Linked DNA regions of Canis lupus familiaris. The protein of the gene in region 3 purifies or fractionates together with the protein of the main gene of each other region. This does not show direct contact. Links are inferred from orthologs where the notes say so. Each region holds a gene or a part of one and is shown on either strand. Other genes may lie near its edges. The genes, in order: SQSTM1, COP1 and TRIB3.

Region 1 (3,644 bases), on a different chromosome or scaffold from region 3:
AGTACTTATTTGGATCTCATGGAGGATGCGGACACTCTCATCCTTCCCCATGTTCCTTCTTGTCCATACGCTGCGATTTTTCCCCAATGGCTGGCAACCACGGCAGTCTGATCCTAGCAAGGCATTATTAAGAGGAGGCTGCCAGGAGGAACCCCCTGAGGGGCCAGGGCCATGATTCGCTTTCCTCTGGAGGGTGATGGGGCACCTGGCCAGGCAGTGGGATCCTGGGTGGCAGAGCTACAGGACATTGCCCCGGCACGCATGGCCTCTCCCGAGCAGGGACACCTCAGCCCCTGCTGGACCGACTGCTCACTCAGGCTGCCGCCTCGCCCTGTGCCCTCCAGCATCTAACCATCAGGTCTCATGCCTGGGATGGCAGGGACCATCATTCGGCTGACCAGCCAGTAATGGCTACAGGATCCTGAAGACTGGTCTTCAAACACCCCCAATTCCCTGGCCTCTGATGCCTCCACACAGTTGCTCACCACCCTCAAAATCCACTGCTTGTCTTTCAAAGTTTAAGGTCATCTTACCTCGTCATCTAGGACTTTCCTTTTTCTTTGTCTGTGTTGCTTTATACTCTTGTGTTTAATCCCTTTATTGTCACTTTGGTAGAGTGAGGAGCAAACAGAGATAAAGACAGGCTTAGTTACCAATACTCCCATCTGCAATATTTAAGTCCTTTTTCTCCTTTTATCCTCTCTCCGACTTTTTTTTTTTTTTAAGATTTATTTATTCGTTTATTTGAAAGAGAGAGAGAGCAAGAGAGAACACAAGTGGAGGGGCAGAGGGAGAAGCAGACGCCCCACTGAGTAGGGAGCCCAATGTGAGGCTCAGTCCCAGGACCCTGAGATCATGACCTGAGCCAAAGACAGACGTTTAAGCCACTCAGATGCCCCCTCCCTCCAACTTTTCATCATGAAAGGGTCAAGCAGGGGCACCTGGATGGCTCAGTAGGTTGAGTTTCCAACCCTTGGTTTCAACTCAGGTTCTAATCTCAAACCCCATGTGTCCAGCTTAGTGCTCAGCTGGGAGTCTGCTTGGGATTCTCTCTCCCTCTGCCCTTCCCCCACACCTGCACACGCACTCTCTCAAGAAATAAACCTTTAAAGAAAAAAGGAAAGGTTCAACCAAACAAAAAAGTTGGAAGAACAGTACAGTGAACACCCATACACCGTCTAACTTTTCTGTGTGAGCAAATGACAGGACCTTTGTAAAGGAATCAGTGACTACAAACCCAAGCCAGAGCAGTCCTGTGACTCCATGGTAGACCCGCTCAGCTGGTTCTTATGGCACCTACCAAACAAGGTCTTGGGGTTTTACTTTGAAACCGCTGAGTCACTGCACACAGTCTGCCCTCTGGGAGGTATTACTGTCTGTCCCTCTGGGCCCCTGCTCTGGGAACAGTCCCTTCTAGGCAGTTAGCAGGATGAGTCATCCTAGCTGTCAGTTCCTTGTAACAAAGGAAAATACCTATAACTCTAGAGTTGAATCAATTCCTCAAGTGGCCCTCCTCAACTGAAACCCTCAAAGGCATACTTACTGAAACTTCCCTTGTTTTTCTGGACAGCTCTAGGCTCCTCCCGAGTTGGTACAAAGTAACTCCATCCACTTTGAAAGACCTGAAAAGGCCTTTACCCTTATCCTACAACACCTGAGCACTGCCAAAATTATTCCCGTAAGTCCTGTGTAGGGAATTTGGGTCAAGCTCTAAAACATGCCCCCAGCGCAGATGGGCCTCAGGATGGACAGCAAGTGCGACCCAAAGTCACTGGCAAGCCTTCAAAACACACAGATCCCAGGCCCAACCCAAGACTAATTTACCAGGATCCAGAATGTTGACCTGGGATTCTGCACAGCTTCCCGTGCCCCTAAATCACAACCCATTAGAGGACCATCTCTCAAAGTTCAACACAGCCTCGTGCTTTCGTCACCACATCTCGAGTGGCAGCCGGGGTTTAGCAATAGGCTTATCTCCCGATTATGACCTAATCACTGCTCCGTTTTTATCCTCCTTAGAAAGCACTAAGAACATCAGCGCTCTTTTCACTTTCTCTAAAGAGCCTTTGACTCCAGTCCCAAAAACAGTATATGGTCTGAGCTATTTCACGGAGCAGCAAGGCCAGGACATCACTGCTGCTTTGAAATTGTGTCCTGGCCTTGAGGAGTGGCAGCTGAAACGGTATCCAGTGGGAGGCAAGAGCAGTCCTGCCTCCCTTCCCATCTGCATCCTTTCAGACAGGCCTTCTAGGCCACCTGAGCGGACACTTCCTGCCACCGCAGTCACAGAGGTGAGCGCTCTTCTAGGCAAAGATCACAGACCTGCTGTAATCCTGCACCAGAGATCACCTTTGTCATGGACTCCCACTGCCACAGGGCCCAGCCCTGCAGCGACCACCGTCAGGGCTGCAGATGCAACAGGTGCCTTCTAAAGCCTTGGGCCAGGCTCACCACTCGGGGGTACCTGCTTTGGTTCACCCACCCAGACACTTCACACCTGAACTGAGGGCCAGGTACCGGGCATCATATAGAACTCCCGCCTCCCTCATGCCCTGCTCCCTAGCATGGGCACAAGCCTGGTACTCGGCAAGCACCAAAAAGGCTGGTACTGCAAAAGACAAAAGGGAGGAAAAGAGAAATGGCCTCTCAACTAATGACTCACCCAAGTCCTTGAGTAAACCCTGGGCTGTTTGTAGGGTGGACGTGAGGAGCAGACTGTCCTCTGTGGGAAGAACAGTCAGAGGCTGACAGGCCAACCCCGTAGCTCAGCCTACTGGGATTATCCCAACCAACCACTCTGATTCCACTTCATTCCATGGGGAAAGCTCAAGAATCTGTCAGGGAATTCAAATGAGTGGCCTGCAGTGCCGCGCTATGGCAAAGGCCTATGTGACGCTACAAGGGCACGGCAGTTAGCATTCCTCTACAGCAACCCAGGGGCCAGCCGCCCAAAGCCACCCATCACCCAGCACTCGGAGTTGCTGCCACTCCCAAAGTACAGAGGCAGCCACTTACCCAAAGGGCTCAGGGCAGCCGCCACACTCTCCCCGACATTCTTGAGGAAATTCACACTGGGATCCTCCGATGGACCAGAAACTTTGGTTTTCAAAGAAACAAAAACATTCAATTCAAAGCAGATTTCTCAAGGACTTGAACACCTGTTACAATCACATCACCTTCATCACAGGGGCCATCCATCCCTGGGACCCTGCCCCTCCATCGCCACCATTCTGGGCTGCTCTGTGACACTGCTGTTCAGAAGCCGGGGGGGATTCACTGCATGGGGTATGAAATATGGACCCCATTCTAGCTCAGATGTCAAATATCAAACAAACAAACCTCCTCACCTTGGTTCCAAAGAACAAGGTAAACCAGAGGAACAGAAAAATAATAAATTTAGAATAAAACCAGAATCTAAAATTCTGAAACACAAGTTATATGTTAAGTGTTTAACTCTGTGAATACGCTTAAAAATATTTCAGCAGGATGCCCTGCTGGCTCAATCAGTAGAACATACAATGCTTGATCTCAGGGTCGTGGGTTCAAGCTCCCAGCTAGATATAAAGCTTACTTAAAAAAAATAAATAAATAAAAAGGCTTGACAAGATGGGGTGTGGTTTAGGACTGGGCCGAGTCTAAATCTA
Region 2 (4,405 bases), on a different chromosome or scaffold from region 3:
ACAAAAATTTTAATGATCTTACCACCACCACTACACCCTCCTTGCAAAAAACAAAAACAAAGAACAACAACAACAACAACAAAAACCAATGCCAACTGCTTATATTATCCTATGGCTCTCTAATTCCCTACAAAATAGTCAATATACAACTCATGGTGCCTGGCAGACAGTTGTGCCAAATAAATATCTGTTGAATAAATTATTGATTCTCTTATTTCTCACATCTTCACTACTATTTCAGTGCACCTATAGGAATGCTGGCATATTTGTTTTCTTTTAACCCTCTAAAAATTAAAATGTGGGGATCCCTGGGTGGCTCAGTGGTTTAGCGCCTGCCTTTGGCCCAGGGCGCGATCCTGAGGATGCGGGATCAAGTCCCACGTCGGGCTCCCGGCATGGAGCCTGCTTCTCCCTCTGCCTGTCTCTGCCTCTCTCTCTCTATGTCTATCATGAATAAATAAATAAAATCTTTTAAAAATAAAATAAAATAATTAATTAATTAAAATGCAAATGGTGGTTAAAAAGACAAATCCAAGCAGCGCGGGTGGCTCAGCGGTTTAGCGCCGCCTTCAGCCCAGGGTGTGATCCGGGGATCCTGGGATGGAGTCCCCACATCAGGCTCCCTGCAGGTAGCCTGCTTCTCACTCTGCTTGTGTCTCTGCCTCTCTCCGGGTCTCTCATGAATAAATAAATCTTAAAAAAACAAAAAAAAAGAAGAAGAAGAAAAAGAAAAAGAAAAAGAAAGAGAAAAAGAGAAAGAGAATTTTTGAAAATCCTCATTTTGTTTCATCAGCTTCTACTTCATCATATGGCACCCTACTTACTGGGTATGAGCATAAACACCTCTTAGACCCACCCATAAGCTAGTTAAATTATTTATAAATAACAATTATAGCCAAGTTTCAATGAGAAACGAATTAATTGTCTCAATCCAGAGTAATGTAAGACCAAAGCAGAAATAGGAGTGAAGATAATTTTACTGCAAGACCTAGAAACTCTAATCAATTATCTTTCCTACAGTTCCATCGTGTAGCCCAATCTTACTTAATGATGCCAACTCACATCATCTTCAACCCTGAGGTAAATCAACTTCCCCTATAATGACAGCGCAAGCCAACTTCCTACTCATGTTCTAAGTCTATCAACAATTTCCTCCAAAAGAAAAGTGCAAAATCCTACCCGTTCTCACTTAACTAGAAGCAATTCCTTTCTCCTACTCCTACTGTTTGGATTGGGTTCTGGATACAAAAACCCAATGAGAAATCCCAAAACACTTCCAGCAAGACAATCCACTCCATCTCTCACTTAATATAGATAACCCAACTCTGCCAGACATCCTAACGGTATACTACTGTGTATCGTTCAAGATGCCAACTATGATGACAAGGTGTCTACTACCTGGCGTTCCTCAGATCGGAAGTTCCAGGGCACTGTAACCTGTTACACAAATGTAGTACAGCTACATCCGACACATGGATGCTGTTGAATAAATGTGGTTCCCTCGCGTCCAAGGCATTTAGTGACAAGTGGAAATTTTTGTGAACAGATTTTTATGACTACAGTAGCCTCAACAGCAGATTTAAAAGTGGCCTACCCTTTGAAGTGGGAGGATATTTATACACACACACACGAGGGATACTGACATGAAATACTACTTCTCCTTAAAATATCCATACCCACGTCTGGAGCACCATCTACCACACTTCCAATAAGCAAATTTGACCAACTCCGTCCCTCGGCCTCCCAGGAAGCTTAATCCTCTCCTTTTACAAGTTCAACAAGAAATCCGGACCGACAGGGTGTCGAATTCACCAGAAAGCAGAAAATTCACCAGAAAACAAAAAAACAAAACAAAAAAAAAAAAAAAAAAAAAGCAAGGCCCAACTTTCCCCGTTTACGCACCACCATTTACCCGACCCTCCTTCTCGGCCCCCTGACGCGTAATTCTTCCTTGGACTCCCCTCACGTCCTCCCCAGCAGCCCGGGCCTCCGCAGTCACCCCCACGTCCTCCGCCGGCCTGAGGGTCTGCAGACGCCGCCCCGGCACCACCTAGACCACCCTCCCGCCGCACCCCGCCAGCCCACACCGCGCAAACTCCTCGTGCCGCGGCGGGCAGGGCGATGCTCTTCCAACTCACCACACGAAGTCGTTGCTTTTGTCCTCGTAGGAGTTGATGAGCCCGTTGCACAGGGGGGCGAGCAGAGGTCTCTTCCGGCTGCCGCTGCCGAGGCCGGAGCTGCTCCCTCCCACGCCGGCGCTGGGCCTGGCCGCGCAGCTGAGCCGAGACTGGCCCGCGGACACCGCCCCGCCGCCGCTGCCCGACACGGCGGCCGCCACCAGCACAGGCCGCGCCGCCGGGCCCCCGAGGCCGCCCGACCCCGCGGCCTGGGCCGCCCCGCCGGACGCCGCCGCCGCCGCCGCCGCCGCCGCCGCCGCCGCCGCCGAAGGGGGCGACGGGGAGGAGGACAAGGACGAGGAGGCGGAAGTCACCGAGGAGGCCGCCGAGGAGCCGGGGCTGGTCCCGGCGGAGCCCGACCCGGCCTGGCGGCTCCCGGACATCGTGCCTCCCCCACCTCCGGCCGGGCGCTCGGAGAGGGACCGCGACCCGCCGCCGCCTCCCTCCCCTCACCTCCCCTCAACCTCAGTGCATCCTGAGGCCGCGCGCCGCGCCGCGCCGCGCCGGGAGGTGGGGCTGAGGAACAATAAAGTTGATCTTTTTTTTTCTTTTTTCTTTTTTTTTTTTTTTTTGTTTAAGGCGAGCACACAGCCGCGTCCGACGGGAGGAGGGGGCGGAGGAAACTGAAACAGCGGAGGAGAAACCACTGCCGCCGCCGAGGCCGCCACCGCCGCGAGCCCCGCCGCAGCCAACCGGGGCGCGCCGAGGGCCGGCCGTGCGCGCGCGCGAGCGGCGGAAGGGGCGGGAGCGGCGGCGGAGACAACCTCGAGGGCGGCTGGGACGCGCGCGGCGCGCCCCCGGCGGCGGCCTAGCAACGCGGGCTGCGCTCGTCCGCAGCCGAGCGGCGGGTGACGTACGGGGGGGAAGGGGGGAAGGGGGAGGGGGAGGGGAGGGAGGGAGGGAGGGGGTGGGGCTGTCCCAAAGGGTGAAAGGGCTGCGGAGAGGGGAATGAATGATAGGGTGGCGCCCGCGCTTGGGAGCTGGCGGGGAGGGGAGCGCGCCGAAGCGACTGCGCACGCGCTCTGGGCGCCGACCCTGGCTGCCGCCCGGGTCGCGGCCCCCCGCTCGGAGCGGCGCTGGCGCGGACCGGCTGCAGCACTGCGTGGGGCGACCGCCTTCCTGAAGGCCGAGACGCGGCTGCAGCCCGCGGCCCGGGCATGGCAGGTGCTTCCGAGTCGCCTTCTGAAGCCTCCGTGGACGCTACGGGAAAGACCCGGGGCTCTGAGCGGCTGAGAAGAGCCCTGCATTGACCCTCCACGAGTCTGGGCCCTGCTGTTAAGCCATTCATTCCACGCGGCTGTGAGGAGTCCATTAAGATGAAGTCAGTCACCGGTGCTTTGTAAATTGCAAACATCGTAGCAAGTGTTATCGATTATTATTGGTCCGACCGTGCTGTCTTGCATCTTGAAACATGAATTTACCAAATTAAGCATGACGATGACGAGAAAACCAGTTCTATCTGATCTGACCACGGCTCAGCCAGAATCTCGGTTTAATGTGGATCTGATATCCTCTACCACAAAACAAGGAAACCTGGCGCTTAATACCACGAAAAAAAGAAAAGAAATGTGTAATTTCTGGTAGCTTTTTGGAATACGGAAAATTGGATACAGGTTCTTCATTTGCCATTTTGAGACTCCCCAAGATTCTGGGTGATGTAAATTAGAAACAACTGGGTTGTTTTCGGTATTCTTTTCCAATCCTCGTCCTGTGGTTCTTAGAGGGAAAGATCCCAGATTTATTTTTGTTTAAAGATTTTATTTATTTATTCATGACAGACACAGCGAGAGAGAGAAAGAGGTAGAGACACAGGCAGAGGGAGAAGCAAGCTCCATGCAGGGAGCCCAACGTGGGACTCCATCCAGGGTCTCCAGGGTCACAACCTGGGCCGAAGGCGGTGCTAAACCGCTGAGCCACCCGGGCTGCCCAAGATCCCAGATTTAATTCTGTCCTTTGAAGACCTTTCCCTAGGAACCTTTATCCATGCTGAATGAACTGAACCAGAGGGGCCCTGATGAAAGCCCAACAAAAAGACCTAGCCATTCATCTGAGCAGTGTTCCATCAAAAGGCTGTCATCCCCACATCAGCCTTTGCTGCTTACCTTCCTACCTTCCTACTTTCTGCTCAGGATAATGATAGAGGAATGAGCTTATCATATTTCCAAGAACCACCCCACCCTCCTTGTGTGAGTATTGCATTATCCTTAACTTCACTTTCAATACCCAAC
Region 3 (3,644 bases):
GGGAGCGGAGAGGCCCTCAGGCAGGGCAAAGGCACCGCGGCGGATCTTGCCAAAGAGCAGGACAGGCTCTGAGTCCTGGAAGGGGTAGTGGCCCGCCAGCATGGTGAAGAGCGCCACGCCCAGGCTCCAGACATCGGCGGCCTTGCCCGAGTACGAGGCCCTGGAGCTGAGGATCTCGGGCCCCACGTAGGCTGGGCACGCGTGCTTGTCCCACAGGGAGTCGTCGGGCCCGGTCAGCACACAGGCGTCCTCCAGGTTCTCCAGCACCAGCTTTGTCCTGTGGCAGGTGGAGACAGAGGGGTCAGCTCTCATGGGGACTCCCATGCCGCCACCCCTCACTATCACCCCCTTTAAAAAATATATTTTAGGGATCCCTGGGTGGCGCAGCGGTTTGGCGCCTGCCTTTGGCCCAGGGCGCGATCCTGGAGACCCGGGATCGATTCCCACGTCGGGCTCCCGGTGCATGGAGCCTGCTTCTCCCTCTGCCTGTGTCTCTGCCTCTCTCTCTCTCTCTGTGACTATCATAAATAAATAAAAATTAAAAAAAAATAAAAAATATATTTTATTTATTTATTCATGAGGGACACAGAGAGAGGCGGAGACACAGGCAGAGGGAGAAGCAGGCTCCCCGCAGGGAACCCGATGCGGGACTCGATCCCGGGACCCTGAGATCACGGCCTGAGCCGAAGGCAGGTGCTCAACCAGAGACACCCGGGTGTCCCCACACTATCACCCTTGATGGCACCCGGTTTCTGAGCGCTGGCTGGCATTTGGCAGAATTGAGTGGTTGATTAATCACATTCTACCCATTTTACCAGGCTCAGAGGTATTAAGTCATTTCTCAAGGCCACAGAGCAATTCAGTTTGAACTAGGACTCTGAGAGGAGCCCATTTCCAATAGTCCCTTGGGGAGGGGACGAGGGGGCCAAGAACACTAAGCCTCTCCTTAACCAGAGGCAAACAGGATCCAAGCAGGTAATAAAGTGAGAGAAATAGAAGTGGAGACCATGCCAAACACCTCAACACAAACCCTGCCTGAAAGGGCACGGCTCACAACATTACAGTGGATATTATGGGGTGTCCCCTGGGTACCTGACCCAGAGCCAAACTCATTACCTGGTGTGTCTCATTTCGTCCTCACAGTCCGTCTCACAGCCCCAGCTCTCACCTACTAAGCGCCATGGCTGTGAACCTCTCACCGTTCCCAAAGGGGCCCCACGTTCCCATTTTTCCCCAAGAGAAGCCAGAAATCAGATTCTAATGAAAAATCCCACTTTTCAAACGTTGGCAGCCAATTTCAATCAAAAACAAATGAACAGGGCAGCCAAGGTGGCTCAGCGGTTTAGCGCCACCTACAGCCCAAGGCGTGATCCTGGGGACCTGGGATCGGGTCCTGGGTCGGGCTCCCTGCATGGAGCCTGCTTCAACCTCGGCCTGTATTTCTGCCTCTCTCGCTTTCTCTCATGAATAAATGAATAAAATCTTTAAAAAAAACCCACCAACAACAAATGAACATGTAAATGAGGCAAGAAAAAAAAAAGTGTGTGTAACCCACTTGCAACTTCCACTTTAAACAATTTCCACAGAGCACTCTGAGTTACTTTATTTATTGATTGATTGATTTATTTTTAAATTTTTATTTATTTACGATAGTCACAGAGAGAGAGAGAGAGAGAGAGAGGGAGAGAGAGGGAGAGAGGCAGAGACACAGGCAGAGGGAGAAGCAGGCTCCATGCACCGGGAGCCCGACATGGGACTCGATCCCGGTTCTCCAGGATCGCGCCCTGGGCCAAAGGCAGGCGCCAAACCACTGCGCCACCCAGGGATCCCCTCTGGGTTACTTTAATAATAAACATTGTTACCAATGCCACTTTTTAAAAAATTACCACTGCTATTAAGATTATTCTATGACACCATTTCCTGGGTGTCCGCTGGCATTTCACAAACATTGACCAGTCCTGTGAATCATAGCTCTGGGTGGTGCTTGGCCCATTTTACAGATGAAAAAAATCAAGGCTCAGGCAGGTGAAGCCATTGTTCAAGACCAAAGAGCAGATAAAAATGTAGAACCAAGATTCAAAGCCAGGTCTGACTCCACCAGCCCTCTTCTATAAACAGTGCTTCGCAAACTATTGCCTTAAAAAGACAAAGAAGCACTTTTTCAAAAAAAAAAAAAAAAAAAAAGAAGCACTTTTTCACCTTGGCAGGCCTGTGGGTAATGAAACTTGCCCTAAGTTCAAAATTATTTGAAGCTGTGTATTAGCTTAAAAATCATTACAAAATTTACATTCTACTTCTTACTAAAGGATGTTCCTTATAGAATAAAATGTAGAAGGAAATAGAAAATCACCCTTAGGTAAGCATTACAGTAGTAACTGCTACAGGCAAGGTGGATGCCCTGTGAAATCCGTGGGTAAGTTTGAGGAGAAACAGTATTTATACTCATGGCCTTGAAGTACCTGCCCAAGGTATGTATGTGTGTATGTATGTATTTTTAAAAATTTTTAAAAAGATTTTATTTAGTTTGACAGAGAGAGAGAGAGACCACAAGCAGGGGGAGTAGCAGGCAGAGGGAGAGGGAGAAGCAGTCTCCCCGCTGAACAGGGAGCCAGATGTGGGGCTTAATCCTAGGACCCTGTGATCATGACCAGAGCCTAAGGCAGATGCTTAACTGACTGAGCCACTCAGGCGCCCCAAAAGGTAAATACTTTTTATTTATTTATTAAAGATTTTACTTACTTATTCATGAAAGACACAGAGAGAGAGGCAGAGACATAGGCAGAGGGAGAAGCAGGCCCCATTGCAGGGAGCCCAATGTGGGACTCGATCCCGGGATGGGGTGATCACGTTCTGAGCCAAAGGCAGATGCTCAACCACTGAGCCACCCAAACGTCCCAATACCTTTTAATTACAAATGGTAGGGACACCTGGGTGGCTCGGCGGTTGAGTGCCTGCCTGCCTGGGATGGCTCAGGGCGTGGTCCTGGGATCAGGGATCAAGTCCCACATCAGGTTCCTGCTTGGAGCCTGCTTCTTCCTCTGCCTGTGTGTCTCTGCCTCTCTCTCTCTCTCTGTGTGTCTCTCATTGAATAAATAAATAAAATCTTTTAAAAATTTAAATATTAAATATTTAATTGATTAATTAATTAATTTTTATTCATTAAAATTAATTGAAGTTAATTAATTTAATTAATATTAAAATATTAAATGATCAATGACTCGATCCAGGGTCTCCAAGATCATGCCCTGGGCTGAAGGAGGCACTAAACCACTGAGCCACCCAGGCTGCCCAAATAAAATCTTTTTAAAAAAATTACAAAGGGTAAATTAGGAATGTTACAGTAGAGAAACATGGCAGAAACCACCTTAACCAAATGACTGAGGTTAACATCACAGTACTATGTATCACCACATGTCTCCTGACAAGGCGTGCTGAGAGGGGCCTATCACTCTTGTAGTACTCTTCTTTTTTTTTTTTTTTTTTTTAAGATTTTATTTATTTGAGAGAGAGAGCGCATGTGTGAGTGGGGGCAGGGAGAGGGACAGAATCTCAAGCAGACTCAGCCCTGAGCACAGAGCCCCACATAGGGCTCCATGCAGGACTCGATCTCATGACCCTGAGATCATAACCTGAGCTGAAACCAA

The links.
Region 1: the proteins of TRIB3 (region 3) and SQSTM1 purify together in Homo sapiens (affinity purification with western blotting; 3 studies listed by BioGRID). This does not show direct contact. The link is inferred for Canis lupus familiaris from reciprocal best matches to the Homo sapiens genes TRIB3 and SQSTM1.
Region 2: the proteins of TRIB3 (region 3) and COP1 purify together in Homo sapiens (affinity purification with mass spectrometry; 5 studies listed by BioGRID and IntAct, counting the BioPlex papers as one, with this or other methods). This does not show direct contact. The link is inferred for Canis lupus familiaris from reciprocal best matches to the Homo sapiens genes TRIB3 and COP1.

What each region holds. Positions count from the first base shown.
Region 1 is NC_049232.1:2,128,960-2,132,603, forward strand, and holds part of SQSTM1 (sequestosome-1), read right to left. Parts: intron 3,097-3,644; coding exon 3,016-3,096; intron 2,723-3,015; coding exon 2,663-2,722; intron 1-2,662. UniProt on the Homo sapiens protein: Molecular adapter required for selective macroautophagy (aggrephagy) by acting as a bridge between polyubiquitinated proteins and autophagosomes.
Region 2 is NC_049228.1:23,215,827-23,220,231, reverse strand, and holds the start of COP1 (E3 ubiquitin-protein ligase COP1), read right to left. Parts: upstream 2,887-4,405; 5' UTR 2,561-2,886; coding exon 2,139-2,560; intron 1-2,138. UniProt on the Homo sapiens protein: E3 ubiquitin-protein ligase that mediates ubiquitination and subsequent proteasomal degradation of target proteins.
Region 3 is NC_049245.1:20,955,973-20,959,616, forward strand, and holds part of TRIB3 (tribbles homolog 3), read right to left. Parts: intron 278-3,644; coding exon 1-277. UniProt on the Homo sapiens protein: Inactive protein kinase which acts as a regulator of the integrated stress response (ISR), a process for adaptation to various stress. Inhibits the transcriptional activity of DDIT3/CHOP and is involved in DDIT3/CHOP-dependent cell death during ER stress.